4 linked regions of the Diceros bicornis minor genome follow. The protein of the gene in region 4 interacts with the protein of the main gene of each other region in a pairwise test. Links are inferred from orthologs where the notes say so. Each region holds a gene or a part of one and is shown on either strand. Other genes may lie near its edges.

Region 1 (7,783 bases), on a different chromosome or scaffold from region 4:
AAATATTAGCTAGTATACTATTCTTTTGCATTAGCATATAAATGTGTATGCTATAATACACATGTATTACAACATATAATATTATACCTGGCTTATGATAAGTGGCTATAAATGTTAGCTACGAAGACAACATCATGGAATCATGGAAAGGTACTCACTCATTAAAAGTTTTAATTTAAGAAAAATATAAGATTTTAAAGTTTAGAACAAGGTGTTAAATGGACTTATATTTGGGTGATAAAACCTAAGAATTTCTTTCCTTCTTTTCTCTATTTTCCAATTTTTCTCTAATTACTTTTATTATGGTAACAAGCTTCATTAAAGACAAAAAGAAGAAACTGCTGAAGTCAGATGGCTAAAAATCTGCCTGCTGGTTGCCCCTGTGACCTTCCCAAATAAAATATCCATCACCTCCTCTCATCTCAAGTAATTTTCACTAACGCTTTTCCAAAGGTTTTCCCAAATTCCTAGATTATTTTACCAGACACAGTCTAGAATATAAATACAGTAGCCCAGGTACTGGCATACTCCATGCCAGAAAAAATATAAAAATGATTCTGGGTTTGATTCTGTTGAGGTCATTAATCTAGAATCCTCAAACGAAAGGGTGGTTTGGCACTGTATTTACTTAAGAATTACTATCCTTGCCATTTATTAATCATTCTTCTTCCTTCTTCCCCCTTGAAAGATCCTCCTCACTCCCTTCTGCTTCTCCAAATCCATTGCTAGTAATTCTCTTACAGGTATCTTTTCTATAAAGTTTTCCTGAACCCAACTAGCCAACCACAACCCTCCACCCTCCTTTGAAATCTTGTTGCTCCAATCCATGCTGCACATGTGGAACTTGCTATATCTACTGGTATTTGATCTATATACAGTCTACTTTCTATATTCCATTATAAGCTCCTTGAGGGTAAGGATTATATTCCTAAATCCTAGCACTACTAGAATGTCTTACATGACATACAAAACCTAGAGTGCTCTTATAGTTTTCTAAATTCTTTTACAAACACTTGAACCTCACAACTACCCTGAGAGGAATAACGACTCCTACTACCTTATTTTACAAAAGGAGAAACAAATTCAGAGGCTAAATAATTTGTCGTAAGTCCTGTTCAATTAATCCTCAAGATCTATGTACAATACTAAATATATGTAGCAAATATAAGAAACTCCCTGAACAGAAGAGGTTTACAAACCTCCATAAAGTAGCACATCCACGTACTTGACTGTTGCCAGGAAAACTACTAAATTAGGGACCCCAAGTTCAACTCTGCCCAACTATGCAAAACCAATTTTGTTCTTGGAGCCCTTGACAAAGAAATACAAAACTGCCAAGATAGCAAATATGGCACTATTAGAATACTATCCTCAACTTCTTCAAGTATATAAAATTTTAATAAAATACTATAGCTTCTGTTTAGTACAAAAGGGGACATTTCAGCATCCAACCACAGTATTACAAAACAAAGTCAGAGTGCATTTTGCAAGAGCCATGTGACACACACATGACAGTCAGCTAAACTCATGGGTGGATCTTTTAGAGGAAATGTTTAGCAGTAATTGACCAAAGCAGCAAATAAACTCAACTTTCAGGACAAATACTGATTTTATGCTTTAAAAAAATTCCCCCTCTCCCCCAAAGCCTTCTGACACTGTAGTAGAATACCAGTTAAATCTCCTCTAATTATTCATTAATTTATATATGCAAACAGTAGGGGGATTTTTTTAAAGGGCCATTAAGGAGAGCTCAACAAAGTCTTCCCAGGGAAAGTGAACCCCAGTTCCTAGGAAAGGTGCCAGGTATATCACATCTGCTGTAGTGACTTCTTGAGTAAGCAAGAAAAAGAAATGCATTAACTTTTCATGACACGTCATGGAACCTCATTCCCTATCTGCAAGCATTCAAGTAGGTAATCCAAAACCTACAGATCTATCATGGGGTCCATTCGTTTCTCTGCCAACTTCACAGCAAAGTCTTCCTTTAATTTGGTGATACTATCAGAAAAGTGTTCCTACGTTTTAGTTCTATTTTTTTTTCTCTTGACCTCCACTAGACAAAATGACTTCAGTGTCCTCTATAAAAAATTCTCACAAATGCCCAGGTTTTTAGGAAGGCAACGGGCCTGGCGAGTTCTCAAAGAACTCCAGGAAATAATTCAAAAAGAGAACTAAACATTTTAAATTGCTTCTCGCCATCTACTCATTCCCCTCAATCCCCCGCAGTCCTGAAAAGCATCCATATTACCTGCAATCTGGCGGGGAGAATGGAAGGAAAGAGAGCCAACAAGCTCAGGATTTACAAGTGAAGCTGGTTTCCACCCCGACGATTCTGACAGCTCCGCAGAGTGCGGGAGCAGAGACTGACAGTGCCCTCTAGGAGTGCTCTCCCACCCTCTCCCCTCCCCTTAAAAACAAGTCCTCCTTCAAAAGTCACTGCCTCCAAGAGAAGCTGCCTCTTCCCATCACCTCACTACCGACTCCCAAAAGCCCCAACCCCGCAGCAGACTGTTCCTCTGCCCCGGGCCCGCACTCAGGCCCTCCAAACTGACCCGGTCCAGGCCCAGGTGACTCACCCCTCCGGCCCGACCCCTCCCCCGGCCGCACCTCCTCCCTCAGACAATGGGGCCTGACTCCCGGCCGCCAGCCTCTCCTACCCCATCACCCTCACCTCATCCCGGCCGAGGCCCCTACTCCCGCCCCAGCCCTCCTCGCCCCCTTTAAGCTTTCCCAAGGTGGCCCACCGACCCAGCCGACCGGTGCTCTCCTGCACTCACTATTCGGGATTCATGCTGGACATGTCACTGCAGCTGCCGCCGCCGCCACCGCCGCCCTTGCTGCTGCAGCCGCCGCCCTGACTCTCTGCACCACGGGTAACCAAAGGAGAGGAATAAGATAGGCTGTTCCGGGAGAGCAAACGTCTTCCCCAACTCCGTCCCCTTAGAACACAATCAGCAGCCGCCGCCACTCAGCTATCGCTTCCACCCAAAATGGCCGCCGGCGAACCAGGAAATAGGAAAGCCTTAGACCGAGGGGGTCTTTACAGAGCCCAGAGGGCGGTCGCACCGCGTGGCATGCCGGGAAAGAGAGTTGTGAGCGTGGCTGTCGGCTCTTGGGACAGACGGTGCGGCGCGACGGCCGGGACTCCATTTCCCGCCAAGCCCCGCGCCTCTGGTGCATGCGTACTTGAGGGGTTGTCGCCCGCCCCATTCCCCACTCTCTCACCACCCCCTTCGCCCCTCCCAGCTCCCCTCCCCGCTGACTCGCTGGCTAGGACTTCGCTCGGACTCCCCCTAGCGGATTGGCTAAGGCCGAGCGGCCCTGGTGATGTCATCAGTGAGACGTGGCAGCCGGGCGAGTCAGCGCCCCACGGGGGAGGGGGGAAGGGAGGGGCAGAGGGCGGTGCCAGCCGCCGAGGGAGAGTAGGGGTGGGGGGAGATCAGGGGGCTCCGAGGGCTGGGGACAGAGGGAGCTGTGCCGGAGGGACGGCATGAATGCGGAGGTCTGGAAGCAAGTGGGGCTGGAGGACACTCCTGGCCGGTCCTGCCTCCCGTGGGCCTTTTGCTGGTCTGGCCAGCTTGAGGCTTGAGCTTAGCGGCTGGTACCAGGACGTCCGCTCTAAGGACGGAAGAGGAGTCAGGGGCCTGGGCTGAAAACTTGGGAGTCTCTGGATAATATGAAGCCATTCTTGGGAGTCTCTGGATAATATGAAGCCATTCTTTCAGTTCTCTTCCTCACTCACCCAGCCCCACTGGGTCCGGTCGTCGGCCAGTGTTGGCCGCAGGCAGTACCATTTTCTTTTTTGATTTCTTACCGCTCTCTTTCCAGCCCTGCTCTTATCGCCTCAGCCCAGTATTGCAGTATCCTTTGAGTGGGCTAACTGCCTCTTTTTCCTCTCTGCCCCCGGCCATTTGCACACACAGGCAGATTGATCTTCCTGAAACAGCATTGTCATCACGACCCCACAACTTTCAATGGCTCCACTTTCCGTCCACGGAACACAGCCCAGAGTCAGTCAAAAATTCGAGGTCTTCCTGCCCTGGTCCCAGCCTTCAAGTTGAATTGTACTTATTTTTATAATTTTTATTTATTTTTTTCCTCCAAAGCCCCAGTAGATAGTTGTATGTCATAGCTGCACATCCTTCTAGTTGCTGTATGTGGGACGCGGCCTCAGCGTGGCTGGAGCAGCGGTGCGTCGATGCGTGCCCAGGCCGGACCAGGGCCGCCAGCAGTGGAGCTCACGCACTTAACCGCTAAGCCAGGGGCTGGCCCATGAATTGTACTTATTTTTAGTTGATATTTAATACTGAGCTGTTCTGCAAGATTGGAAAGTAATAAACGATAGAAATGTGTGATTCATCACTATATAATGCCTAGAAACTCCAGGAGTAATATGAACATAACATTTTTTAAAACCTTATGGTCTAAACAGCTCTCTTTAATCAGCTCAGGAATTTAAATCTCCACTAAACTTTAACACATTATCTTGGGTTATTTAATTACAAAGGGCATAGTATAATACATTGTCCAAAGTTTATCTTCCAACTTTTTCTAAGAACCAAGAAAATTATCTCCCAAGAGTGATTGCAAAATCACTTTAAATTCCCGTGATGCCAAAATATGGAAAGAAGGCAGTTCTTATTGCTACCCATTTACTAACTACACCCCTTAACCCCCAAATTCCACCATGTGCCTTGGTTGACAACTTCATCAAACAGTACAGTAGAGTTCCTTCACATCATGTTGGCTTCTGAAATGAGCGGGGTCACCACACCACGGTGAAGCACCTTGAATGGATCGATGATAGACATCGAAAAGTGTGTATTACCCTGGACTTTTGTCCTTTCCTGCTTGTTGTGATTTCACAGAAGAAACACTCAGAAAATCTCCAAAGAACTCATCCTGAGCCAAAACTACAATTTTTAACCTGTCCCTGCCCTTGGAGGTATACCCCTAAACTTCCTCTAATTACGTATTTCCTTTCCCAACAAAGAATTACCTCCTAATAACTTATAACTCAAGTGAGAGAGTGGTTGTAAGAATTAAATAAAACAGATTATAAAGCATATAATACTATGACTTTTGGGGCACTTGGTAAAGGCTAATTACCTTTCTCCTTCCCTTAACTTCTCCGCCTTGTGTCTTAGTTATGGTGCTGTAATATGCAAGAAGATCAGAGGCAGCCTAGCTTGCGGGTGGCGGGTGTTTGTTTTCTACCCCGGACTACAACTCATATGTTATTTATATTAAGACTTCCTTCCCAAACTTCAAGTGTCAGTTTTGCTGATTCAAACTTTAATATATTTTTTTATGTTTAGGTGTTTAAGAGCAGCTACTTTTATAGTTCAGATTAATAACTCAGAATAATTTATTAAACTACCACGAGCCTTGTTGGCTGCCCTATCGTTGAATCAAAACTCTCCTAGGGCTGTTTGTCCATCTGTCCTTTGGCTTCCTTCCTTCCTTTCTTCCTTCCTTCCTTCCTCCCTCCCTCCCTCCCTCCTTCCCTCCCTTCTTTCCTTCCTTCCTTCTTTCCTTTTCCTTTTCTTCCTTTTTTTTTGGGGGGGGGTGGTGAGGAAGATTGTCCCCGAGCTAACATCTGTGCCACTCTTCCTCTACTTTGTATATGGGACACCGCCACAGCATGGCTTGACTAGCAGTGTCCACGCCAAGGATCCAAACCCACGAACCCCGGGCCGCTGAAGCGGAGCACGCAGACTTAACCACTACGCCACCAGTCTGGCCCCATCTTCCCTTTTCTTTAAATCAAATATTTATGACCTGGCACATAATAAATGTGTTTGGAACTTGTTCTTGGAACCATGAGAAATACAAAGGTGAATAATTACAACTTTCTGTCTGCAAGGAGACTACAACCCAGTGAGAGAAAGATGTGTCCACAAACAAGACCTATATGGGAAAATGCAAAAATAAATTAAAATGATATGAGGTGTATAAGGACAGTAATAAATTCAGTGATTGCCAAGAACTAGGAATGGGAGGAGAGAATTGTCTACAAAGAGACACAAGGGAACTTTTTGGTTTGATGGAAATACTCTATATGTTCATTGTGGTGGTGGTTAGTTACTCAACTGTATATGCTTGTGAAAACTCAGAACTATACTCCTAAAAGGAGTGAATTTAACTGTATATAAATTTTACCTCAATTATGAACCTGACATTAAAAAATGAACAAGGTAGGGGCCGGCCCGGTGGCGCAAGCGGTTAAGTGCGCGCGCTCCGCTGCGGCGGCCCGGGGTTCGCTGGTTCGGATCCTGGGCGCGCACCGACGCACTGCTTGGCAAGCCATGCTGTGGCGGCGTCCCATATAAAGTGGAGGAAGATGGGCACAGATGTTAGCCCAGGGCCGTCTTCCTCAGCAAAAAAATAAGAGGAGGATTGGCGGATGTTAGCTCAGGGCTGATCTCCTCACAAAAAAAAAAAAAAAAAAAAAATGAACAAGGTAGAAGTACAGAGGAGGGAAATAATTCCAATTCAAACCGTTGAGAGTGCTTTCATGAAGGAGACGGTATTTGAATTAGGCCTTGAAAAAGAATAAAATTTTGATCATTGGCAGAAATGGGGGAGAGGGAGCCATTTATCCTAGAATGACAAAAGAATGTGAGCATAACCCTAGAAGTGTGAAGATATCCATGTGTTTAAGGAATAGTGAACAGAGGTTCCATGGGAGATGAGTTGGGAGATGTTTAGGTTAAGGTGAGATCATGGGGAGCCCCAAATGCCTGCTAAGGAGTTTCAACTTGATTCCGTAGCAGCAGAGAGTCAAGAAAAGTTCTGAGAAGGAGAGTGAGGTGTTCAGCTCAGTGGTTTAAAAGGAGCACTTTGGAGTTCTGTGGAGACTGGAGGTAGAGAAATTAGTTAAAAGGTAACTAGAGGGGGCCGGCCCCGTGGCTTAGCGGTTAAGTGCACGCGCTCCACTCCTGGCCGCCCTGGTTCGGATGCCGGGCGCACACCGATGCACCGCTTGTCAGGCCATGCTGTGGCGGTGTCCCATATAAGGTGGAGGAAGATGGGTGCGGATGTTAGCCCAGGGCCAGTCTTCCTCAGCAAAAAGAGGAGGATTGGCATGGATGTTAGCTCAGGGCTGATCTTCTTCACAAAAAAAAAAGGTAACTAGATTCATTTAGGCAAAAGATGATGTGTCCTGACCTAGGGCAGTTGCATAAAGAATGGAAAGGAGAGGAGATTCCAGAGAGGAGGAGATAGAATCTGAAGGCGTGAGGGAAGGGAGGAGCTAAAAGTGACCCAGAGATATCCAGTTTCCCTGCCAGCATGGGAACCAAGGCCCAGCAAGGCAGAAAACAGGGGACAAGGGGCCTGGAGTGGGGTAGAGAAGGAGGAAGGTAGACAGTGCTATGTGGTTCAAGGTCAGGGTTAAAGCTGCCCTCGTGTGGAAGTACTAGAACTACCAGAAATTGTCCGTCTGTCCTTCTGAATCAGCACAAAAGACGGAAGACTGTCAAAGATAGACAAAGCCAGACACTAGTTAAAGCTGTGAGGATAGATTTCATTCAGTAATAACTTGCAGTAGAGAAGAGGGCCCAGTGTGAACTGAACTCAATGTCACTGAAACGAAAGATAGACTTTTTAAGAGCTGGGGTGTGCTGAGGAAAAGGCATTGAGGAATGTTAAGGGGGTTGGTCCATGTGACTAGGCCACCTGGGCTTGTTAACTGGCACTTATCTGGAAGACAAACTTTTGCATGTTTATGACAGGAGGCAGTGGTCTAAGTTAGAACAAGGTGCCCGCTGGGCTGGGAGTG
Region 2 (6,889 bases), on a different chromosome or scaffold from region 4:
TAACCACTGACCAGGACCGAAAGGTCATCCAGCTTGAAGATGTCATCGGGGACTCCGGAATTCTTCAGGCTGTTGGCTCGAGCCACGATGGCCTGGGGATAAACCACAAGAGTCGGTGACTCCCAGCTTCCACCCCCATGAAGGAACAGAGAGATCAGGGAGGGACACTTCCTCAGGAAGATCACCGGAGGCCAGGCCGGAGTGCTCTCCTCCCCTGGCCTTTGCTCATAGTCCCTCCACCTGGCGAGCTCTTGCTATCCTCCCTATGAGCTCCTATTCCCATCTCAAAGCCCAGCTCAAATGTGCCCCAGAGCCCAGCAGAGGGTCCTCAGGGAACCTTTTCTGATCGAACAATCCCTATTCTTCCCAATTCCAGAGGGCAAGATAGGGGTGCAGCTCTGAGTGAGGGTTTCTACACAGAGGGAGAAAGTTGAGCCAAAGAGAAATCAAAGTGTGGACCAAGCACAAGTCTGTTCTCTCTCCCTGTCGGGCTGAAACCTTCTCATGCTACAGATGTGCAGAGAGTACATGCAGGATGGCTGAGGGGAGAGAAGACAGGCCAGGGGGCAGTGCCATGACTGCAAGTGACAACAAGACTAACGGTAGCCGCCACTGTTGACACTCTTTCAGCCCTAACGCCTGTGTGGTGCCATGCTGCTCCCTCACAGAGGACACGGCTAAACCCTCCCCAGAAAGGGAAAGGACTTGTCCAAGGTCACATAGGCGGGAAGGGGTAGAGCTCAGATTTGAACTTGGGCAGCCTGAGTCCAGAAGCTGTGCCCTTAACATCTCGGGGCTCCAACCTTGGATGGGAATGACTCTTGCTGTGGCCTGAAGGGTCTGGGACAGGGGCCTGTTGTTTTGGGACGTCAGAGGCTCCATGGAGGGCAGTGGTAAGCAGACCACCTTGACTGCGTCCCCCACCAGCCAAACCCCACCATACCCCAGCGCTACCACTGCCTGGCCATGTGACCTCAGGCAAGTGACCTGCCTCTGTGGCCAAGTGTCCTCATCTGTGAACTTAGTGGAGGCCAGGATTATATGAAAAAACCCTCATGGAATAGTTGGCACACTGCTCAGCTGGTGTCAGCTGTTATTATTGTAGCTGTTGTCCAAAATGGGTGGGATTTTGGATTTTTAACCGTTTTCCCCATGGGTGACTTAACATAGGGCATCACTGTTATCCTCTCCCCTTAGGAGCAGACCCCTGAGCCTCACACACTGATGGCAGAGGTGCTGGTCCAGCCTGGGGTCTGGCCCTGCCCTCATGCCCCTGGCTGGGCTCCAGCCCCCACTCCCGAGCTTGGCGAGCACTCACCCGCAGTGACGGCAGGCTGGACAGCTCCCCATGAAGCGTGGTCAGGTTGTTGTGACTCACGGATAAGTGCTCCTGGGCCAGGACAGGGGAGCGGAGGCTCAGCAGGGCGGGTAGGGTGTCTACAGAGTCCCACCACAACCTTCACCACCCAGGGCCCTCAGCCACACAGGCCCAGTCCACCTCTGCAGCCTCCCTCCCTCACAGACCGTCTCCACTCGCACATCCCCAGGGACAGGGTACCACTTCCCCTCTGCCAGCTCTGCTCGTGGCCGTCAACGTCTTCCTCTACGTCGTCAGCCTTCTGCACAGGCTCTGCCCCCCTGGCCCAGCCCCATACACAGGGACTCTCCCTGCCCACCCAAAGCCCCTTACCAGCTTCTGAAGGGCAGCCAGCTCCTCCGGCAGGTAGCAGAGGCCGGTGCGGTTCAGCTTCAGCCATCGCAGACTGGTCATGGCCTTGACGTTCTCAGGGAAGTAGCCACCCTGGGAGGTGTGTCACGGTGAGGCTGGTCTGGGAGAGGGGCAGCCCTGCTCTACCACCCTCTGCGGCCCCCACTGCCCATGGGAGCCTTTACGAAGCAACAGAGCCACCTCACACCAGCTGTGTGACCCTGGACAACTCTGTGCCTCAGTTTCCTCACCATAAAATAGGGCTAATAAAAGCCCCCTCAGGACTAAAGTGTTGTGAGGACCAACGAATTATCAGGATGGCTGGCGGCCAAAGATCTGTCTCTGCGGCTGGATTCTGAGCCTCAGGAGGCCAGGACGGAGCTGGCTTGTTCCAGGTGACATCCCCACACCCAGCTATGTGGTTACCTCAGCTCAAACGCCTTCGCCTGGCATTCCCGGCCCTGCCTGGGCTGCCTGGGGTGAGGGTACCCCCTGAGGCCCTACCAAGGCCCTACCTGCACCACCACCACCACCACCCTCCCCCCGCCATCAGCACATAAGCCATCTGTAGTCAGGTCCAGACCCCCCTGTGCCCCAGCCTGCACGGGTCTGCCTCGATCATTCGTTCATTCGTTATTCAATTCCTCACACTCAAATGCCCACCTCAGTATCCCAGCCCTAAAGGCAGGGAGCCGCGGGCAGCACGTGCCTTCAGTGCCCTTGGCTGGTGTCCCCTTCCCCCTATGGCCACATTCCTGGCTGATAACTCAGACTCTTCCAGTCTAGAAAGGCCACATGGAGACCCCAGGCGACAGTGGCAGGAACTGGGGCCCAGGAAAGCGGTGTGGCGGCCTGTGCATGCGGTCAAAGGTGTGTGCACATGTGGGTAAATGCAGGAAGGACCTGCCTGCTTCCCTGGCCCTGGCCAGACCTCTGACCCCAGCCAAAGCCTAGGTCCCCTGACCCTGCAGACCCAGGCTGACACTACAATGACCCCAGCCGGAGTCTGCCCAGCCACCCATGCTGCAGCCCCAGCCGACCCTCCCAGGACCAGGCCAGCTCTCACCTCCACTCCTACCCTGCCTCCTCCCTGGTCACCAGCACTGCCCACCTCGTTCCTGGCTCTCTACAACTGCCCACCCACTCGCTGGAAGGCTGGGCTCCGGTTCCTGTGGCCCTGGTCTGTCAGTCCACAGCTGCTCAGACAACTGCCACCCAGGGCCTCAAACACCTGCCCGACACACTCTCCATAGCAACTAATCCAGGCCGCCAAGAGGACGACTTTAAAGCCCCTTCACCGGATGAGAAAACTGAGGCTCGAGAGGGGAAGTGACTTGCTCAAGACCACAGAGGATGGAGGTGGCGGCGGCGGGGACAGGGCAGAGATGAGTCGGCTCCAGACCCGCCCTGGGGACAGCCAGGGGCACGGCTGTGAGTCAGAGCCTGGTCTGGGCGTGTGACCTCAGAGGGGTGGGGAAGGAGGGCCAGGGAGGAGGACAGGCTCGCGACCCCCGAGTCGCTCTCTGGCCCAGGCGGGGCCCACACCCCAGGAAGGGACACGAGGTGGGGGCCCGGCCCACCCCCTAGCGTGACCCCGAGCCCAGGCGTCCGCGCCGGCCCCGCCCGGCCGCGGTCTTCCCGAGCGGCACTGGCGGGGGCCTCGGAGGCCCGTTCGCGGGGCCTGGGCCCGGGAGCGCCCCACCCCGGTCGCCCGCAGTCCCGGCGGCCAGGCTCTGAGGCGGGCGGGGCAGGAAGCGGAGAGCCGCGCGGGCGCAGCGGCAGGGACGGCCCGGAGGGTCCGGGCCGCCGGCTCACCTTGAAGTCGTTGCCGCTGAGGTCCACGCCGCGCACGAAAGGCAGCACCCCGGTGGCCTCCATGGCGCCGCTCTCGCTGCGGGGCGCGGGCGCGGGCGCGGGGGACAGCCGCGGGCTGGGCCAGCGCCGCCCCGCCCCTCAGCGCGCCCCGCCCGGCCGGCGCGAAGGCGGAGCCCGGCGCTCCGCGGGAGGCGGGGACCCGCCGCGCCCTGGGCCTCTGCGGCCTCTGCTTCCCCGTGTGCTGGGTGACTGGAGGGGCCCCGGGGAGGCCGGGCGCCCCGGTGCTTGCGCAGGAGGACTCAGCGCCTCCAGGCCGGGTCCCCGTGCCGCACGGCGGGGTGTGTCCCGGGCCCTGCGGGTCCAGGTGCTGCCCCCTGCGTTGCTGGAGCAGCTGCAGTGGGCGTGACCGCGGGAGGGATTCTGGACTCAGTCCCGGGGGCGCAGGGACCCGGAAAGTCTCTCTCTGCCGCTGGGCCCTACATGGCGACCAGTGGTGGGAGGACGCCTGGGCCCTTGGGTCCTAGAGCCCGCGGCAAGCCCCAGGCCTCCTCCTGCCTCAGTTTCCTCATCTGTGAAATGCGTCTTAAGGTGGTTGTCAGGAACAAATGAACAAACGCACGGGTGGCTAGAGGCATACAGCAGGCGCTGAATAAGTGGCGCGTTATCATTCCCGCTTAGAGTCAACACCCCGTCCCTGTCCGCTCATTTATTTGCTTGCTGGCCCCCTTGGCCGGCACATAACAGGCCCCAATAAATAATTGCCGGATGAGCCACAACATGCTTCGCAGGGGTGGGGGGTCTGGGGTCCCCATTTCGCAGGAGAAAAAACCGAGGCCCGGGTGAAGTGGCCCACACAAGGTCACACGGAGCAGGCGGCACGGGTAGACCCTGAGTCATGTCGTGTGCCCCGCGGGCCAACAGGTAAGAACAATGGGGCCATCAAGGCCCTCTCGCAGAGGTGACCTCAAGGATCAGTCAGACGTGCGGGCCTCAGGGCCAGGTGCCGCCTGTCTGCCCGGGCCCCGGAAGGAACGTGAGCCCGGACAGCTTTCTCTACACCGGAGGCTCACATTACAAGCGCACACGCGTCACAACGGGTCCTGGGGGCTGGCTTCTTCCGCAGCCGGCCATACAGCTCATACCACCAGCCAGGCGGGTCGCAGGCTCGGAAGGGGGCCTGCGCCTGTAAATTCAGAGTGCATCGGAAGTCTCGCCCCCAATGGAGCGCGCAAACCGGTGAGGGGGCGTGGTCCTCCCACCATTGGCTGAGCTGCGGAGTATTTTGGAACGTGAGCGCGGGCCTCGAGCGCTCCGATTGGAGCTAGGGCCTGCTCGTCTGCGTGCCTCGGCGTCAGCGCCCGCCCCCGGGGCCTCGGAGTTCGGTTCCCGGGTCCTCCACGTTCCATTTCCAGGCAGGTCCGGGGTCCCGGGTCCGAGCAGGCCCGCTGCGTCCGCCGGTCGGTGCGCTGAAGCCGCGACGCAGGTACGGCCGGAGCGCGGCGGGGCGGCCCGGTCATCCAGCCGCGGGCGTGGCGCGTGCCCCGGACGCAGGTCGGGGGCGTGGCCTCCGCCGGGGCCCGCGGTCCCGGCCCGGGAAGGAGGGGAGGGCTCTGGGCCCCAGGCCTGAGTTCTGATCCGCCTCTGCCTCTTCCCGTCTTGGGTATGTCACTTCACTTCCCAGGGCCGCCGTGTCCCCCCGTAAAGGGGGCCCTGACATGCCCACGCAGGGCCGCTGCGCGGCTGCTCAGCCCCGGCCCTGGGTTTGGCGGAGGAGGGGAGGACAGGAGGCGTCCCAGGGCGCTGTGGGGCCCGGCTGCGCAGAGTCGGGTTATTTTTAACCCGCGCCCTCTCCCCCTTCCCAGCGTTGGAAGGCTGCGGGTTGGGGCCTGCACAACCCCGCCAGGGGTGGGCTGAGTCCCGAGTTAGACAGGTGGAGGTATTTAAAGCGCTTGACAGTTTGCGAAGTGGACTCCTGGTCCCGCTGGAGGCAGGTGGCAGTATTGATCATCGATGAGGAAACTGAAGCTGGTTGCAGGGTCATGCTGGGTCACCCGGCTAGCCTTTGACCAACTCAGGCCCTCTTGTCCTATTTTTAGTATGGGCGAATGGGGGCGGGTGTTGGGGCTGAGACCTGCAGTGCTTCAGGCTTCAGCTGCTCCAGGCATCTGGTCACCTGGTACCTGAGCCCCGGGCACCCACAGCCGAGCAGGGAGGCCAGAAGTCCTCGGTGCCCTAGCTGGCTCTGAGCTCACGGTCATCTGCTCAGGCGTTCTCATGGAGACAGTTGTGCCTGGTATCTGACTGGTCCCTTGAGTGTGCCCCTTGGTCACACTTCCTCCGCTCTCAGGGCTTGAGGGTAGGGGTCCCCCTGGAAGAACCTGAGGCTGGGGCTTGGTGGACTGGGCCCCAGGACAGATCTCTGCTTCCGCTGCCCCAGAGCTCGGCCCCACACAGCCCCACACTTCTGGGCTCCGCACTTGTAACCCTTCCTCACCGCAGCCTCTGCCATTTTACAGGTGAGCAAACAGCTGGGGTTTCGGGCCCTCAGCTTACCTTCTCTGTTGCTTGGTCTCTCAGCAGCTGAGGCCACGCCCCCACTCCCCTCACACTGTCCGGAGCCTCAGAGGCCCCCATCCAGGGTACTGTGCGGGTCCTCTGTTTGGAGTCTTGTCTTTAGCGGTACCTTGCTCGCTGCCCCCCCAGCGGGGACTTCAGCCTTGACTGACACATACTCTTGACAGGCAGCTCCTGGGCGCCCCCCCTGCCCCAGGTCATCGTGGGCTATCTGACTCATCCTGTCCTTTGACTTGGTAGCTCTGCCTCTGGGGGCTGCCCTTTCGAGATGTGGAGGATAGCTGTGGCTCCGTGAGCTTCACCAAGGTCCCCCCAAAGGTCTGAGAGGCCCTCCAGGGCAGGCTGTCTGGGACCCCCAGCTATGGTCTTCTCTGGGCCTTGGTTTCCTCCTCCTGTCCCCAGCCCTGGTTAGGAACTGGGAGGACACAGCCGCTAGGACCTGACCACAGGCCCAGGGGCCTGATCGGACTGGGGGTGGGTGAGAGTCTGGACGCTCTGAGACCCCCCCACTCACCGTGTGGTTTGGGAACCTGTTTCTCTGTAAAAGGGGGTGGGGGTGACAAGACCCACCTCGCGGTCTTTGGTGATGTTAAGGGTCCTTGAGGGTGGGATGGGGGGGATGGGCACCCTTCTCTGACCTGCCACAGGACCCAGGGCCTTTCTCTGCAAGACCCCCTTTCCAGGGGTGAGTGGGTTGTTTGCAGGTTTGGGTGAGGGGTCTTGGGCAGCTCCCCATTTCCTCCAAAGAAACCCTGCGAATGGCCCCTGTCTCCTGAGGAGTTCTCAGGAACC
Region 3 (6,984 bases), on a different chromosome or scaffold from region 4:
TGGACTGGCTGAGTATCTTTAATTTAGAGGCTGCCCCTCTTTGCTCAGGCATCCACGTTAGGTCATAACAGGAACCTGAAATTATAGTTCCCTCTTGCAGATTCTTATTGCCAAATGAGGAACTTCCACCCACTGGTCTGGAAGGATTCAAATACTTGCATTGCGTCCTTCCCTCTACCCCAGGGCAAGCCTGGATTTCCTGGGAGAGCTAGGATGAGTTCGAGACTCTAGGATTTAACTCCTGGGCTTTCTCTGAGCTGTCCTTTTAGAGGGGCTTCTCTGGACCGGCCAGGAACAGGGGATTCTAAACCCAGTGGAACTCTTCCTCCCCCGCCCTCCAGATCTGCTCCCTCAAGAACAAAAGGCACTCAGCAGTCTCAATTGTTACCTCTAACCTTTTGGGGGGTTACTAAACTGAACCCTAAGGAGATGGCAAATGTAGACATCCAATATTAAACTTGATTAACAACCTTGACATTGTAATAATGGTCTCTTCTCTCAAGACTAAGATGGTACTTTTAGAAAAGTTTGTTAAAATCATAAGTTGCTCTCAAGCACCAAGAAAATCATCAGCCAGTCTTATGCTGAAAATCAGTGTGCACAGATGTAGTTATTATTATACTGAAATAAAGAAAGTCACTCTTTGCATATCCATTTTCTCTTACCAAATATTAACATGTTAAAAAATCTAAGCCATTTGAACTATATAACCTTTCTCTACGCTGGTTATCACTTTTAATTGAAAGCAACTAGCACATATAGTTAATTCTGGAATATTTTCTATCTGGATAGACTTGAAATATTCCTATATCATCTAACTACTGCCTAATGGCAACATTTTCTAGTACTGCATTACTATAAACAATTACTCTATTGTACAGGAGGAAATATCAAAAACATGTTTAGCAAATAAAATCTACTCAATAGATTTATAAAGCACCTTAGCTAACTAAAGCCAGAAAGTTTGCTTCTAGATTCGCCAAACTTGGGATAAAATTAATCATTCATAGTTTGGAATGAGTTGCAATGTACAAACCAAACTACAACAGAAATACACATCATACACAGGCACACAAATTCACTGTCATCCACTTCTTCCCATAGCAATAAACAGAAAGACGTTCCTTACCGCAGTCCTCAGTATTGTTCACAACCACCCTGGTGTTATAACATTTTATAACTAATCTTGCTGGATGGAGAGATTCCACCCGACTGTGACTAAATGTTTGTAGAGGCAAGTGATTTTAACACTTGTGCTAGTTTGGCAGTACATGAAAGGTCAGATAGAAACCAAATGTCGCATCTGACCAACTGACGTTGAAGAGAAAAAAAGCTCAGTGCTGCAAAGGGAAAGCAGCTGTGAGCAGTATGAAAAGAAATTTTGTTCTCCTAGCTCTCTTTCATCCACTAACGGGGTATACTTTTCCAAGTCACAACAGAAACATTCTGTATGTGGCAAAAAAGGTTAACTGAGATTGCGACCAAACCAGTCAGCATTAAATAGGAAAGAATGTGGACCATGAGCTCAACACTGATTTGATCTCTCACAATTCAATTCTTCACGAAATCACCTGTTCATGCTGGTGGGAAAAGGGCCGCAGAGATTAGCCTTAATCTTGCCTAAGGAAACCCCTCCTTGGGGAGTGCTTTGCATACCCAGTCCTCTCAGCCCTTGTACTGCTCAACAATGAAACTGCCAGCTGTGAGTATGCACCAAGAATTATATGCACTTATCCTTCAGGGTTTCAACAGAACCTGCCAGTTTATAGTCAATGAAATCGCCTTTACAAATGTTTAAGTCACATAACCAGCTTAACTAGTCAGAGGTTTCTGATCCTTTATCTCAATCTGTATTTGATCCACATATGGACAATCTGTGATTATTATTAATACCAGCAATAACAAAATATGAGGACCTAAGAGTCTCTAGGCCATGCAATTGGCTTTTCAATGCAAGTCTCCAGACCTCACCACACTAGGACATAGCTATCCTTTTTTTAGATCTCTTCAGGGGAAGATTTATCCCTCTTTTCTTCAGGAACTTATTCCATTATCTTCTAAACTTCATGGGAGGAAAAGCTGCCTACTTGACATTTCTTCTGTGACACCTCATCTTGTGCTCTGTCTTGGTATAAAAGCTTTTGGAAATTTGCACACAGCTATTAAGTTACTCCTCAGTCTCTTGAATCTTTGTGCCAACAGGAGCTAGAACATTGTAGGTGGAGACAAAGCAGCAGCATAAATGCAGAACTTAAAACTCCCCAGGAAAAGGAGAAGAGGAAAAGTGAGACTCCTGACCTGCTACTTTCCTCATCCCTCATTCACAAGCCTCACACCTGGCCCATACTCAGCAATGACAAAGACATCTGTCACTTTCAGGCTGAGGTGCAATCTCCAAAATAACTGGCCTCTGCACAGAGTTCTTCAAAGTTAACTGAAAAACATGTTCCTGGGCTGCAGCTGCCTAGCCAGAGAATGGGACTACAGGAGGATGCCCTGGTCAAGCCCCCTCCCCCCACCCGCAGGCGACCCACACATAAGACCCCCACCCTCACCCAGTCCCACCGATGACAGCACACAAAGGCAGGGTCACAGGCACACCGACCACCCCCATGTACTACTCGACCTCAGACACACACACACACATACAGAGGGACAGGAGATCACGTGCATGGTCACACGCACCGGTCCACTCGAGTCCACACTCACAAAGCGACACGGACAGAGGCAGCCACGTACACTACATACACACCTACCTGCAACTCCATACACATCACACATCCACACCCCCACTTCCCAGGGCCTGGTTCCACTCCTCACCTGCCGTGTCCGCCCTCACGTCCCTTTCCCTCCTCCTCAAGGAGGCTCTTCCCTCCAGTACAGGCACCGGCCGTGGGGTTGGCTGGGCCCGGGTGGGGGCCCCCGGGCCAGAGCCCACACGCCCCGCAGGCGCAGAGAGCAGTGGGGGCCCGCTGAGAGGCCGGCCTCCGGGGGGCGGGGCGCGCGGCCAAGCGAGCCTGGGCGGCCGCGCTCTCTCCTCCCGAATTGTTAGTTCAGCGGCCGCCGGCCTCGCGCTTCCGGGTTTGAAGGGGGCGGGGCCACGTCGTGAGGAAGGGGCGGGACTGCGTGTCTCCGGCGGTCACCACGGCGACGGGGCGGGTGGAAGACCCAGCCGAGAGACTCCCGGCGCTCTCGCTTCATCCTGCGATATGCGGAGGATTGGGGAGCCGGCGTGGTTCTGGCGGTGGCGGCGGTCTCGGGGAGGAGGTCCGAATTGCCTGTGGGTCAGCTCCAGGTCCCCTGTCTGATTTGAGCACGGAGGGAGAGGTTATGGGAGTGGAAGGAGGGGGCGCCTGGCCCCTTGGGACGTGCGTCAGCCTTCAGTTCTCTCCTCTTCGAGGAAGCAGGTTTCTCTCCGCCGTGTAAAGCTTTGAGGGGACCTCTTTGGGTTCCAGGCTTTGGTGAACAAGGTTTTGTATACTCTTTTCTTGGCAAGGTTATTTTCCTTTGGCACAACTACAGACGCCCTCCATAGTCCTCCACTGTAACGCTCCCACCTCCGTTTCAAGACTTTTGCTGACGTTCTGGGGGATTTCCAGGAACAGCTCCCACCGAGCCCCTAGCTCCTTTATCACTTTCCCTTAAAGGGATGGAGAATATTAATATATTTATAATAATTATTCTTAAACAAGGTGTTGCAGATGTCGCGACTCTCTTTTTCAGTAAAATATGCAGGTTTGCTGAAAGAATGTATGATAAGATTGACTAATAGGTAAATCTCCTTGTTTGAAGTTTTTAGTGATCCTGCAACAAGGTCCTGCTGAATGATCCTCTCCCTAATCTGTATTAGGAGAAACTTGTACCCTGTTTAAAGGCCTTTGGATTTTGCCCTTACCCAGGCAACTGTTATGGGATCAAGGTCAGGGGAGAATTCCAGTAAATTGCGTCCTTAGTCATGACCTCTGCCCTGTGGCTCGGGAGCCTTAGGTCCCCATCTAGAATTAGACAAATCCCAAATGCATTTCCAAACAGTAACAGATTCTCACCCCCCACCCCCCCATTCACCTCTTTTGAAATTTTGAGTCAGTCACAGGAAGTGGTCTTTTATTAAAAGTGCCATATAGGTGTATAGAGCATGTTTCCACAGAAGATTTTTAACCTTGGGGCTTTTTCTCAAAACTTTGGAATAGTTTAATGAATGGAATAACTGGCAAATCACTGGTTGTATGTAAAACCCATTATGGGTGCTGATCACATTATTTATCTCTCTCCCTAAGCGGGCTGGGAAATTTAGTTTAGAGCAAAGGCAACAGAGGGATTCAACCAGTACCCTAGCATAGACTTAAGCTATCGGTATGCCCAAATATATTAGAAGTCCTTATTTGGTTAGTTTGGTAATAGTAATTTTTAACTTGACTGTGGATAATGAAAAACCATTTCACTATGTAGATATGTTTTGTTACATGTATACTTTTATTACAATGTAAAAGATCAAACCCTTTTGAGATTCTACATGTTTCCCTTAGAAAAGGACCCTGTGGTCATGTTTGGATCCTCAGTTGTTCCATAACACATGGCAAACACATTGTCTATTCCCTAATCTGAACAAGGAACATTTAATATCCATGAATTCCAGCTGTCCTATGATTGCACAACTGCAGGGAGCAAACTTTTGACCCAGAGCAGGCCACAGTGCAGGCAGACCTCGTGGATTTGGCTGTGAGGGTTTGCATCTGTCGTGTTTGGGGTCTGCCATATGGTTCCCACAGCACCAATCCCTGTGTAAGAATCACACTTGAAAACTGGAATGTTCACAAAATACTCTGAACACCAAAGTAAACAGATGGCTAGCTGGTTCTAAGAATTGCTGAAACACAAGCTCTATCCCTCTAATTGATCTTTTGACAGGATAATATTTGTTTTAAAACACACATGCAAGATAATCCTAGATATCTCTCTTATGCATGTATACACACCAAACAGAATAGTGCTTACCTCTGAGGAGAACCTGGAGAATGGAAGGGGCAGTGAAGGAGAACTTTGGCTCTAGATTTAGTGTTTGAATTTATATAAGAATGTATTCATATATTATTATGTTATAAAAAAAATAATTAAACTCTCTCTAAATCCTTCAGTAGCTCCCCACTGACTTCAAGCTAAAGTCCAAGGTGCACATACTAGAGCAGGTCTGGCTCTCTGGAAGGGCCCCAAACACCCTCTGAGGTCTCAAACCTAGTTTGTGTATGCTCTTCCCTCCACTTAGAGTGCCTCCTTCTGCTTGACCCACCTATTTTACCCCCAGAAACAATGGATGTATGAAAAAATGAAAGAGGAATAAAACATTTGGTTTTTCACACTAATACCAATTCTTGGAATACCATCCTTTTAAAGCTTCCCTGGGTACAATTGGCTGCAATGTTATATATCGAATTATGCTGAGCCCCGAGATTGAAAATGAATGCTATTTCCTTATTGCCAGACCCAGTCTGTGTGAAATACATACCACACTGGATTATAGGGGTCAGACCCAGAGTGGAGATTTTGGAACTGCCCAAGAAAGATGTTGACATGACTGTTCTATAGCTTGCTACCTAAAAGTCCTATCAAACAAGTTATATGCAGTTATTTGTAATTAATAATTTATTATCATCCAGGAGTTAAGAAACTTAAGTTCTATCTTTGGGCAAGACATCTTCTCTCTCAAGGTGTGGTTTCCTTCTCTGTAAAATGAGTCCATGGTTAGACTAAATGATCTCTAAGTTCTTTCCAGTCTAAGATTTTAGATTCTATATATTTATAAGAGATGTAGTACAGAATCTTTACAATAGCTTTTCCTCAAAGCTGCTCTTCTCTGATAATCCCTTCACTGCCTCTCCCTTCCAATCAAACTTTAAAAAAGTAGCCTGCACACAAAACTGCCTCTTTATGGAAACAGTATTTGAACTTCTTGGATAAGTTAATCTTCGTTTGTCCATCATTAACTTTTTAAAATAAGAGTTCCTAAGCAAAGGTACTTCATCTTTTGTATCATCTGCCAACCTAGCATCTCATTAGTGTTTCTGCTGTAAATAACAATGCAATAATCTACCTTCTGGAAGAAGAGCTGCAATAAAGAATCCTGGGAAACAAGAGCTGCACTATTATACTAAAAAATAAAGCAGCTTCTATCTGTAGGGTTCTAGAAGACTTTATGAATTCTTAGAGGTAATAAAGACAGTGATTAAATAGTAACTAAAATGAGAAAATCTTTTTGGAATTGCCTAGCATAGTGCCTGCATATAATGGGCACTCAATTAACAGATGCTTTTGTTTCTTTGTTTCTGAGCACCAAAGCCTAGCACATTAAATTCCTTGATCAGGATACAAACATTTGCAAATACACGCCGGGTGGGAAAGTGGTTCAGGCCACAGATTGGTGTTAGGCTACTGGAGTGTGAACTCTAGCTCTACCACTATTAGCTATTTAACATTCTGGAAAAATGAGGGTCAATAATAGTACCTTCCTCCCAGGGTTATTGTAAAAATAAAATAAGATAGTTCAGGGGCAGTCCTTAGAAACACGGCTAGCACTCAATAAATGTTAGCTAATAATAACGGTATTGAGAACCTACTGTGTTCCAGGCACTGTGCTAAGTGAATTATGTATAGTATTTCTATTCTTCACGGCAATCCTTGCAAAATAGGTACAACTTCCATTTCGTAGATAAAGAAACAAATACAGGGCTGGCCCCGTGGCTTAGCAGTTAAGTGCACGCGCTCCACTACTGGCGGCCCCGGTTTGGATCCCCGGCGTGCACCAACGCACCGCTTCTCCGGCCACGCTGAGGCCACGTCCCACATACAGCAACTAGAAGGATGTGCAACTATGACATACAGCTATCTACTAGGGCTTTGGGGGAGAAAAAAGAGGAGGATTGGCAATAGGTGTTAGCTCAGAGCCGGTCTTCCTCAGCAAAAAGAGGAGGATTAGCACAGATGTTAGCT
Region 4 (7,385 bases):
AGCTCCCCTGGGTCCTCTGGACTTCCCAACGTGCCTCTTCTCTTGGCAGATTTTGCTTCCTAACCTTTCAGGCTAATAAATGACAGCTGTGAGCACAACTGTATACTGAGCCGAGTCCTCTCAGCAAATCATCGAACACGGGGGTGGTCTCAGGGACCCCCCAACACACCTTTTCTTCTCCGGGGTACTTATCACCATCGGCCATCCTATGATATTTTAGTTATTTATCTTGCTTACTGTCTCCCCCCTCCTCCACCCAGGCCCCCTCTCTTTTAGTCTCTGCAGTATCCCCAGCATCACTCCGCACACACCCACAGAGGACCCTGGGAGAATATTTGCTGAATGACAACTGTAACGGTTTTATTTCCAAAGCCGGAGTCCCTCCCTGGGCTTGTGACGAGAAGGGGGCCTTTGGCCGGAGCAAAAGAGCCGCGCGGGACAGGGCTGGACAGGGATGGGGCGGCTGGCTTGGAAGGCTGGCAGATCCTCGAAGACACCTCACACAGGCTCCATCTGCAGCTCTTCCCCGTCTACGGCCTCCGTCAGGTGGAAGGCGGCATGGGAGCCAATGACCACGAGGGTGGCTCCTGCAGGAAAGTGGGCAGTTTAGGGACATGCTCTCTCACCTGGCTCCCACCGCCCACCCAGACCCTGTACTCACCCAGGACCCAGAAGACGGCAGAGCCCGCGCCAGCCAGCCAGAAGAAGGGGAAGGAGACGGCCCCTGCCAGAGCGTACTGATGGGCTGGGCTCACCTCTCGGCCTGAGGGGCAGACGGCATAGGGGCATGCTGTTCCGGCACTCGGGCCCTCTCCCAGTCACCCCTGATGCCCCCCAAACAGGCTGGTGTCACGAGCTCCAGGAGCTAATCCTGGATTAGAATTTGGATCTAATCCAAATTCCTTATGCCAAGGAAGTCCTGGCCCCACCCACGTCTCCAATGTCCCCACTGTCTGCCAGCATAGAGCACACCTCCCTGAGCCCCCTGCCCTCTGCCCTGCAACCCCACTTCTGCTAGGAAGCTCCCAGCCTCCCACTCCCCCAGATGAGAGCTCTCCTGCTCCAACCTGCACTCAGGTAGACCAGGAATCTCAAACTGGTGGCCCAAGGGCCAAGTCTGACCTGTGGATGTATTTTTTGAGTCTGCACAATGTTCCACAAGAATCTGATTTGTGGCTGACAGAGAAACTGAATGACTTCACATAACAATACAGATTTCTGGCTTCTCGTGGCAGACTGGAAGACAGGTCTGCACACCCCAGCAGCAGCAGTGGCTGAAGCCAAGTCACAGCTGTGCTTTCCAGGCGCTCCTTCCATGCCCTGTGCTTGTCCCACATGTCCCTCCACCCAGCCCACCTTTGTCATGTGCATGACTTGCAGGCCCCTGAAGAACTCGGTCTCAAGTCTCCCTGTTTGTCTGATCCTAGCTCTTCCCTGTCCTTACTCTAAACCTTGAGCTTCCCCTGCGTGGGGACTCAGGCCTTTCTTCCCAATGGTGCTTGGTGCTAGTCTGGGACCACAAGAGCCAAAAGCCTCAGCTTCCCTCTCTGCGAAGTCCCAAGATCTTTCTGGTCTCATCCCAGAAGCAGGACAGAGGCAGGGGACAGATCTAGGCCAGTGTAAGATCACCACCTGGTGTCCAACGTGGGTACCTGCAGCTGATGCCTTCCACAAGTGACGGAGGAGAGAGAGGGGAAGCTAGCTTTAAGGGACAGGAGATAGGTGCAGAGTGAGTTTTGGGGCATCTCATTCTGGGTCTGGGGAACAGCAATTTGGGGGGCTGAAACTGGGTGGGAGCACCTGGTGTGTCTGAGATTTTAAGGGATCGGGTTTGGGGGACCTAGTGTAGATCTAGGCTTGGGCAGACAGGTTTGGGGTTTAAGGCTTTCCTTCCAAGAGACCAGGATTTGAGGCGTCAGGGATCCATCTGGGCAAGGGAGCTCTCACCAAAAAGCACAAACTTGGACTGCAACGTGCGCAGATAGAGGATGTAACAGGCGCCAAAGAAGACGGCCAGAGCCACCAGCAGCATAGGGGACGTCACCCTGGAGAAGGGCAGGGAGGCATCGGTCAGGCAGCTGGGGCTGGGCCAGCCAGGGAACCCGATTGTCTACACCAGCGGATGACAGGCTATGTCCTTGAGGCCAGGCAAGTCTAGGTCATGTTAGGTCACAGTGCGTCCCAGCCAGGCTGATGGGGAAGTAGGGACCTGGCCCTTCGGTGAAAAGGTCTGGCGGAGCCGTCCGGGGGGCGGGGCCGAGCAGTGCGGCCAGAGCTCTCGGTGGGGCGGGCCTGGCGGGCGGGGGGCGAGGGCGAGGGCGAGGGCGGGGCGGAGAGGCACTCACACGCAGTATACGATGAGGCCCAGGAACACGAAGACGTAGTTGCTCTGGTAGTACTCCACGTTGCGCACGAGGCGCTGGCACAGCTCGCCCAGGTTGCGGGGCCGCGAGAAGCGCCGCTGGTCCACGAAGGAGCCCCAGGGCCGGATGGTCGCGCGGCGCCGCTCCAGCCACTCACGGCCTACGCCGGACGGGATCAGTTTCGGCAGCAGGGTCCTGGTGGGCGGAACCGGGTCAGCGGCGGACCGGGAGGGAGCCCGGACTCATGAGCAAGATGGGGGCTGCGGGGGGCGGGCTCTGGGGTCCTGCGGGCGAAGGGTCTAAGACTCCTAAACCCTAGGGCAAAAGGGGGCTGAGGGCCCAGACTTCAGAGTCCCCGAAGAGTAGACCAGGGGCCTGGACTCCTGTGTCTGGGGGCCGGGATTCCTGGGGCCCGAGGGAGGAGGGGGCGGGGGCCAGAACTCCCGAGTGTCGGTCAGGGGGGCTACAGGGGGCTACAGCCGGCTTGCTCACGCGGCGCTCAGCCCTTCCGCCTCGGCATCCTTCTGCTGGTCCCTCTCGGCCGCCATGTCTGCGTGGTGAGGGGTAGAACCGCTGTAACGAGCCCCGGGCCCTGCGGACCCTGCCGGCCCCGCCCGAGCCCGGCCTCACCCAGCTGAGCCGACGTGGCGCCGCTCGGGAGCCGCTTGGGGCGGTAGTTCTGCGTTGAGCATTGTGGGAATTGTAGTCCTGATGCTGTCCGGCAGGGTGGGCGCCATGATGGCTCACAAAACACCTTCGGAGATGCTGTCGCATAAAGCGCCGGTGAGCGCCTCTGGGCATTGTGGGAATTGTAGTTGCAGAAGCGGCGTATGTGGAGTAGGGGGACGGTGGATTGTCCAGAATCGAGGCATTATGGGAACTCTGAAGGCGGAAGTAGACGTTGTGTACTCTCTCCCGTGCAGGATACAATGGGAACCGTGTAGAGCTGTCGTTCTGACTCTAAAGTGCATAAAAACAGCTGGAAGGTTTGATAAAACAGATGTTCTGATTCAGCAGGTCTGGGGTGGGGCCCATTAATCTGCATTTGTAACAAGTTCCTAGGTGATACTGAAGCTGCTGACCTCTGGACCACATTTTGAGAAGGGAGACTGTAGAGAATTCGCGAGAATCTGTTCCTTCCTTTCTTCCTCAAGAGACAGAGGCTTGTGAGAGGGCCATGGTTGCTGGAGCGGGTATCTGAGGTGGGGAGCAAAGCTGCCCGCACAACCCTTGGGCTGCCAAGGATGAATGGGTTAGGACTAAAGACCTAGGGACTCCCCCGTTTGAATGGGAAGGAGGGAAGTTGGGAAACGGAAAGGATTGAGAATTTTTTGAAGAGAGTTGTTATAATTAAAAGAGCTGGGACTCTGGAGTCAGGTGAAAATCCAGGCTGATGATCTCATCACCTCCTTGAACCTCAGTATCTTCATCGGGACAGTGGGGATGGATCCTGATGGTACCACACTCATGAGGTTGATGATTCAGTTAAATGGTCCATGTAAAGTGTTTAAAAGAGTCTTGATGCTTTATAACTGCTCAATAAATGGTAGTCAATGTTATTGCCACTACATAATCATGAATGTTATGATTATTTCTAGAGTTCAGGCTTCTCAAATTTAACAGTAACATATTAGGAGCTGCTGGCCCCTTGGATGTCCCAAAGAGTGGCTGGCATCACAGGCCTAGGGCTTTCTTTTCCCCACTTCCCACAGCTGTAGTTCTCTCTCAGTCTTTGCCCCTGCCCCTGAGTTAGTTGTGGGAAAACAGCTGGAGTTCTTAAGGAGTGCACCAGAACAGGGCCCCAAGAATGTGGGTGGAAGTGTCGGGAAGCCTGGGCTCCCTTACGTGGACTGAGGTCCTAATTTTCCAAGGCTGAGTGGGGCTGAAGGAGAATATCCACATGGGATATCCAAATGACTCAACCCCAACTCTCCCAACATCCCTTTTGGGTTTGGGCTTTGAGGCCTGCTGGAGGTGGGGAAGACGGCCCTGCCAAAGGGGCTGGTGGAGCAATAGGCGGGGAGGCCCCCTGTGGGGGTCCCAAGCTGAAGCTGAATGAGCCACACTTTGAAGATCAGATTGGCGAGTTACTCTTTATTTCCCCTTTGTCAGAGTCAGCCTTTTAGTAGAATCTTGTTCACGTTTCCCTCTTGGGTCTCGCCTGGCATCATGAAATCAAAGGAGGGTGGTGAGTGCAGTTAGCTCAGAGCGTTAATGGGGGAGCAGCATTAACTGAGTTCAGAGTGATGGGGGCAGCAGAGGGAACCAGAAGAGGCCCCAAGAGGAAGACAAATCTTGGGGAGCAGAGAGTTGGAGGCAGAAGTCCATTTGCCTCCTCCATGGCCAACCTTGGAAATTGGGGGTTTGACTTTTGCTATGAGAGCCATTGGGTTTCCTTATAGGAACTCAATCAAAGCAGTTTCACTCCATAACCTACCAGGACTTGTTCCGAGCAGAGGACATAATGGGCAAAGGGCTGGAGGTGTCGAACAGCATGAGTTGTGGGCAGTGGGGTCCAGAGGTAAGGACATTGTGGGGAGGGTCCCTCTGAGAAGGACATGGGGGGAACTTTGACTCAGGGGATTTTGGGAGGTGGGGCCTTGGCACAGGGCATTGTGGGAGAGGAGCCCCTTGAAACAGGGATTATGGGAGAGGGGACCCTCAGGCAGAGATATTGTGAGAGATAGGAGGATCCCTGAGACGGGGGGATGGTGGCAGGGGACACCTGAGAAGACTGTGGGAGATGAGCTCTGGCCCTGTGGTCCCTCCAGCTTGAGGATCCCCAGAGAAGTGGAGCTGGAAGGGTGGGAAGACCTTAGCATAGACAATCAGAAACCTGGGTTATATTCCTGCTATGTGACCTCAAGGAAGTCTCTGCCGTTTCTGGGCCTCAGTTTGCCCACCTCTATGGTATTTCTTTCCCTGCACCTGATAAAGTAGTTTCTGTGGCCTCCCTAGGAGAGGTCCAGGCTCATGAAACCCCTACTAGGACCAGGCTCTGTCCTGGGCATCAAGAGCATATCTGGTGCACGTGGCTCCTGCCTTCTGACAGCCTTCCCCCCTCAGGTTTGGGTGCTCCTCCCTAATGCAATGGGCATATGCACACACTCATTCACACACAAGCTCTCAGCATCCCAGACATCTGTGCAGGGAGGTAGGCAGGCCAGGTCCAGCCCCAGGCCTTCCTCTGACTCACTTCTCTGGGCTGTGTTAGAAAGGCTGCCTCAAGGGAAGTGGTATAGCTGCCCAACCCGAATGGCTAAAATTCAAAAGACTGATAATACCAAGTGTTGGCGAGGATATGGAGCAAATGGAATTTTCATACACTGTAGGAATGCAGAATGACACAAGAGCTTTGGAAAGAGTCTGGCTGTTTCTATTAAAGCTAAACATAGTCCATCCCCTGACCAGCAATGCCACTTCTAGGCATGTACCCAACAGAGATGCATACACGTATCATCAGAAGACATTACTAGAATGTTCTTATTCCTAGCAGCACCAATTGTCATGGCCCCCAAAGTGGAAACAACCTAAATGTCCACCAACAGGAAAATGAATGAACAAATTGTGCTATAGTCACACAATGGAATACTACGCAGCAATGAAAAAGAATGGGTTACTGATATATGCAGTAACATGAATGACTATCACAGACGTGATGTTGAGGACAAGAAGCCAGACACATGAGACAAAATGCTGTAAGATTTCATTTATGTGAAGTCCAAGAACAGGCACAACTAAAGGATGGTGACAGAAATCATATCAGTGGTTCCCTCTGAGGGGGGTGGTGCTGACTGGAAAGGGACAGGAGGGAACTTTCTGGATGGATGGACATGTTCTTTACTTTGATCTGGGTGCTGATTACATGGATGTAATTTTTAAAGTCATTGAGCTGTGCCCTTAAGACTTGTGCACTTCACTGTATGAAAGTTTTTCTCAATAGAAAGAGAGAATAACACAGTGACTTAGAGCTTGGACAGCCTAGGTTCAAATCCCGGATTTGTCACCTTTCAGCTGTGTGACCTTGAGCAAGTCACTTTCCCTCTCTGTGCCTCCCATCTTGTAACGATTAAAAGAGCTAATACACATAGAGTGTTCAAGAGAGAGCAGAGCACAGACTGGGCGCTCAGTGACTCACCATCATCATCATGGTCACTGTCATTGTCTCCCTGGGGTCCTACTCCAACGTGAGAGGATCTGACTCCCTCCCTCTCCCCTGTTCTGATCCCATAATCCCATCACCTGGCGAATTCAAGCTGCTTCCACTCTAACTTTCGTGAGTCTAAAATTCCAAGATTCGATGACTCCGAGATTCTGTGACTGCCAAGCCCGTGCCAGGCGACATTCCTGGGATCGTGTGAATCACCCGGCCGTGTGTGCCAGCACAGGGGACGCCATCCTGCCCACACCCCCGCTTCAGAAAGCAAACACGACACACCGCCTCTCTCTCCCCACTGATATATTTGATAATTGTCCAGAACCAGAGATGGCATCAGCCAGGGGCTGAGAAGGAGTAAAAAAGAGCCCAGGGAGGGGGCTGGGAGGTAGGGGTGAGGAGAGGGAGAGGAACAGAGACACAGAAAAGAGAGAAGAGAGAGGCAGGGGGTGGGGTGGGAGGGAGAAGCCAGCCAGAGGGGGAGAGGAAGGGAGGCAGGAGATAATTTGAGGGGTGAGGCAAAGGTGGGGCCACTGGGAGAGAGGGCCCCTCCCCCCGAATACAAAATGGGGGACACTGGAGGGGGCTGTCCTGGGCTGGGGGAGCAGGGAAGAGGCGGGCGATGTGGTGGGTTGAGGTCAGTAGTAGGTTTCCTTCTCCACCCAACCTGGAGCGAGAGACAAAGGACGAAAGACACAGAGATGGCAGAGACAGGCACGGAGAGAAAGAAACACAGCAGAGAGAGAGAGTTAGAGAGAGACAGCGACACAGGAAGAAACCAAAAGGGACAGAGACAGAAACACGCAGGAGACAGAGGGGAGGAGGCCCAGAGAGACAGGAAGAGAGGAGAGATGGAAGGGGAGGGG

What was found.
Region 1: the proteins of RABAC1 (region 4) and RAB1A interact in a two-hybrid assay, tested with the Homo sapiens proteins (2 studies listed by BioGRID and IntAct). The link is inferred for Diceros bicornis minor from reciprocal best matches to the Homo sapiens genes RABAC1 and RAB1A.
Region 2: the proteins of RABAC1 (region 4) and MIEF2 interact in binary tests that used the Homo sapiens proteins (3 or more experiments, as listed by UniProt). The two-hybrid records come from large-scale screens. The link is inferred for Diceros bicornis minor from reciprocal best matches to the Homo sapiens genes RABAC1 and MIEF2.
Region 3: the proteins of RABAC1 (region 4) and SPG21 interact in binary tests that used the Homo sapiens proteins (3 or more experiments, as listed by UniProt). The two-hybrid records come from large-scale screens. The link is inferred for Diceros bicornis minor from reciprocal best matches to the Homo sapiens genes RABAC1 and SPG21.

Annotation. Positions count from the first base shown.
Region 1 is NC_080751.1:22,658,705-22,666,487, reverse strand, and holds the start of RAB1A (ras-related protein Rab-1A), read right to left. Parts: upstream 3,006-7,783; 5' UTR 2,801-3,005; coding exon 2,778-2,800; intron 1-2,777. UniProt on the Homo sapiens protein: The small GTPases Rab are key regulators of intracellular membrane trafficking, from the formation of transport vesicles to their fusion with membranes.
Region 2 is NC_080757.1:1,614,370-1,621,258, forward strand, and holds the start of MIEF2 (mitochondrial dynamics protein MID49), read left to right. Parts: upstream 1-3,876; 5' UTR 3,877-5,006; intron 5,007-5,070; exon of another isoform or gene 5,071-5,183; intron 5,184-5,960; 5' UTR 5,961-6,039; intron 6,040-6,889. Other genes in the region: FLII (protein flightless-1 homolog), read right to left, coding at 12-92, 1,319-1,390, 1,691-1,801, 3,524-3,586. UniProt on the Homo sapiens protein: Mitochondrial outer membrane protein involved in the regulation of mitochondrial organization.
Region 3 is NC_080744.1:59,337,301-59,344,284, forward strand, and holds the start of SPG21 (maspardin), read right to left. Parts: upstream 3,012-6,984; 5' UTR 2,821-3,011; intron 1-2,820. UniProt on the Homo sapiens protein: May play a role as a negative regulatory factor in CD4-dependent T-cell activation.
Region 4 is NC_080773.1:17,246,871-17,254,255, reverse strand, and holds RABAC1 (prenylated Rab acceptor protein 1), read right to left. Parts: upstream 3,002-7,385; 5' UTR 2,912-3,001; coding exon 2,856-2,911; intron 2,559-2,855; coding exon 2,346-2,558; intron 2,046-2,345; coding exon 1,948-2,045; intron 764-1,947; coding exon 662-763; intron 588-661; coding exon 499-587; 3' UTR 335-498; downstream 1-334. Other genes in the region: ATP1A3 (sodium/potassium-transporting ATPase subunit alpha-3), read right to left, coding at 7,158-7,186. UniProt on the Homo sapiens protein: General Rab protein regulator required for vesicle formation from the Golgi complex. May control vesicle docking and fusion by mediating the action of Rab GTPases to the SNARE complexes.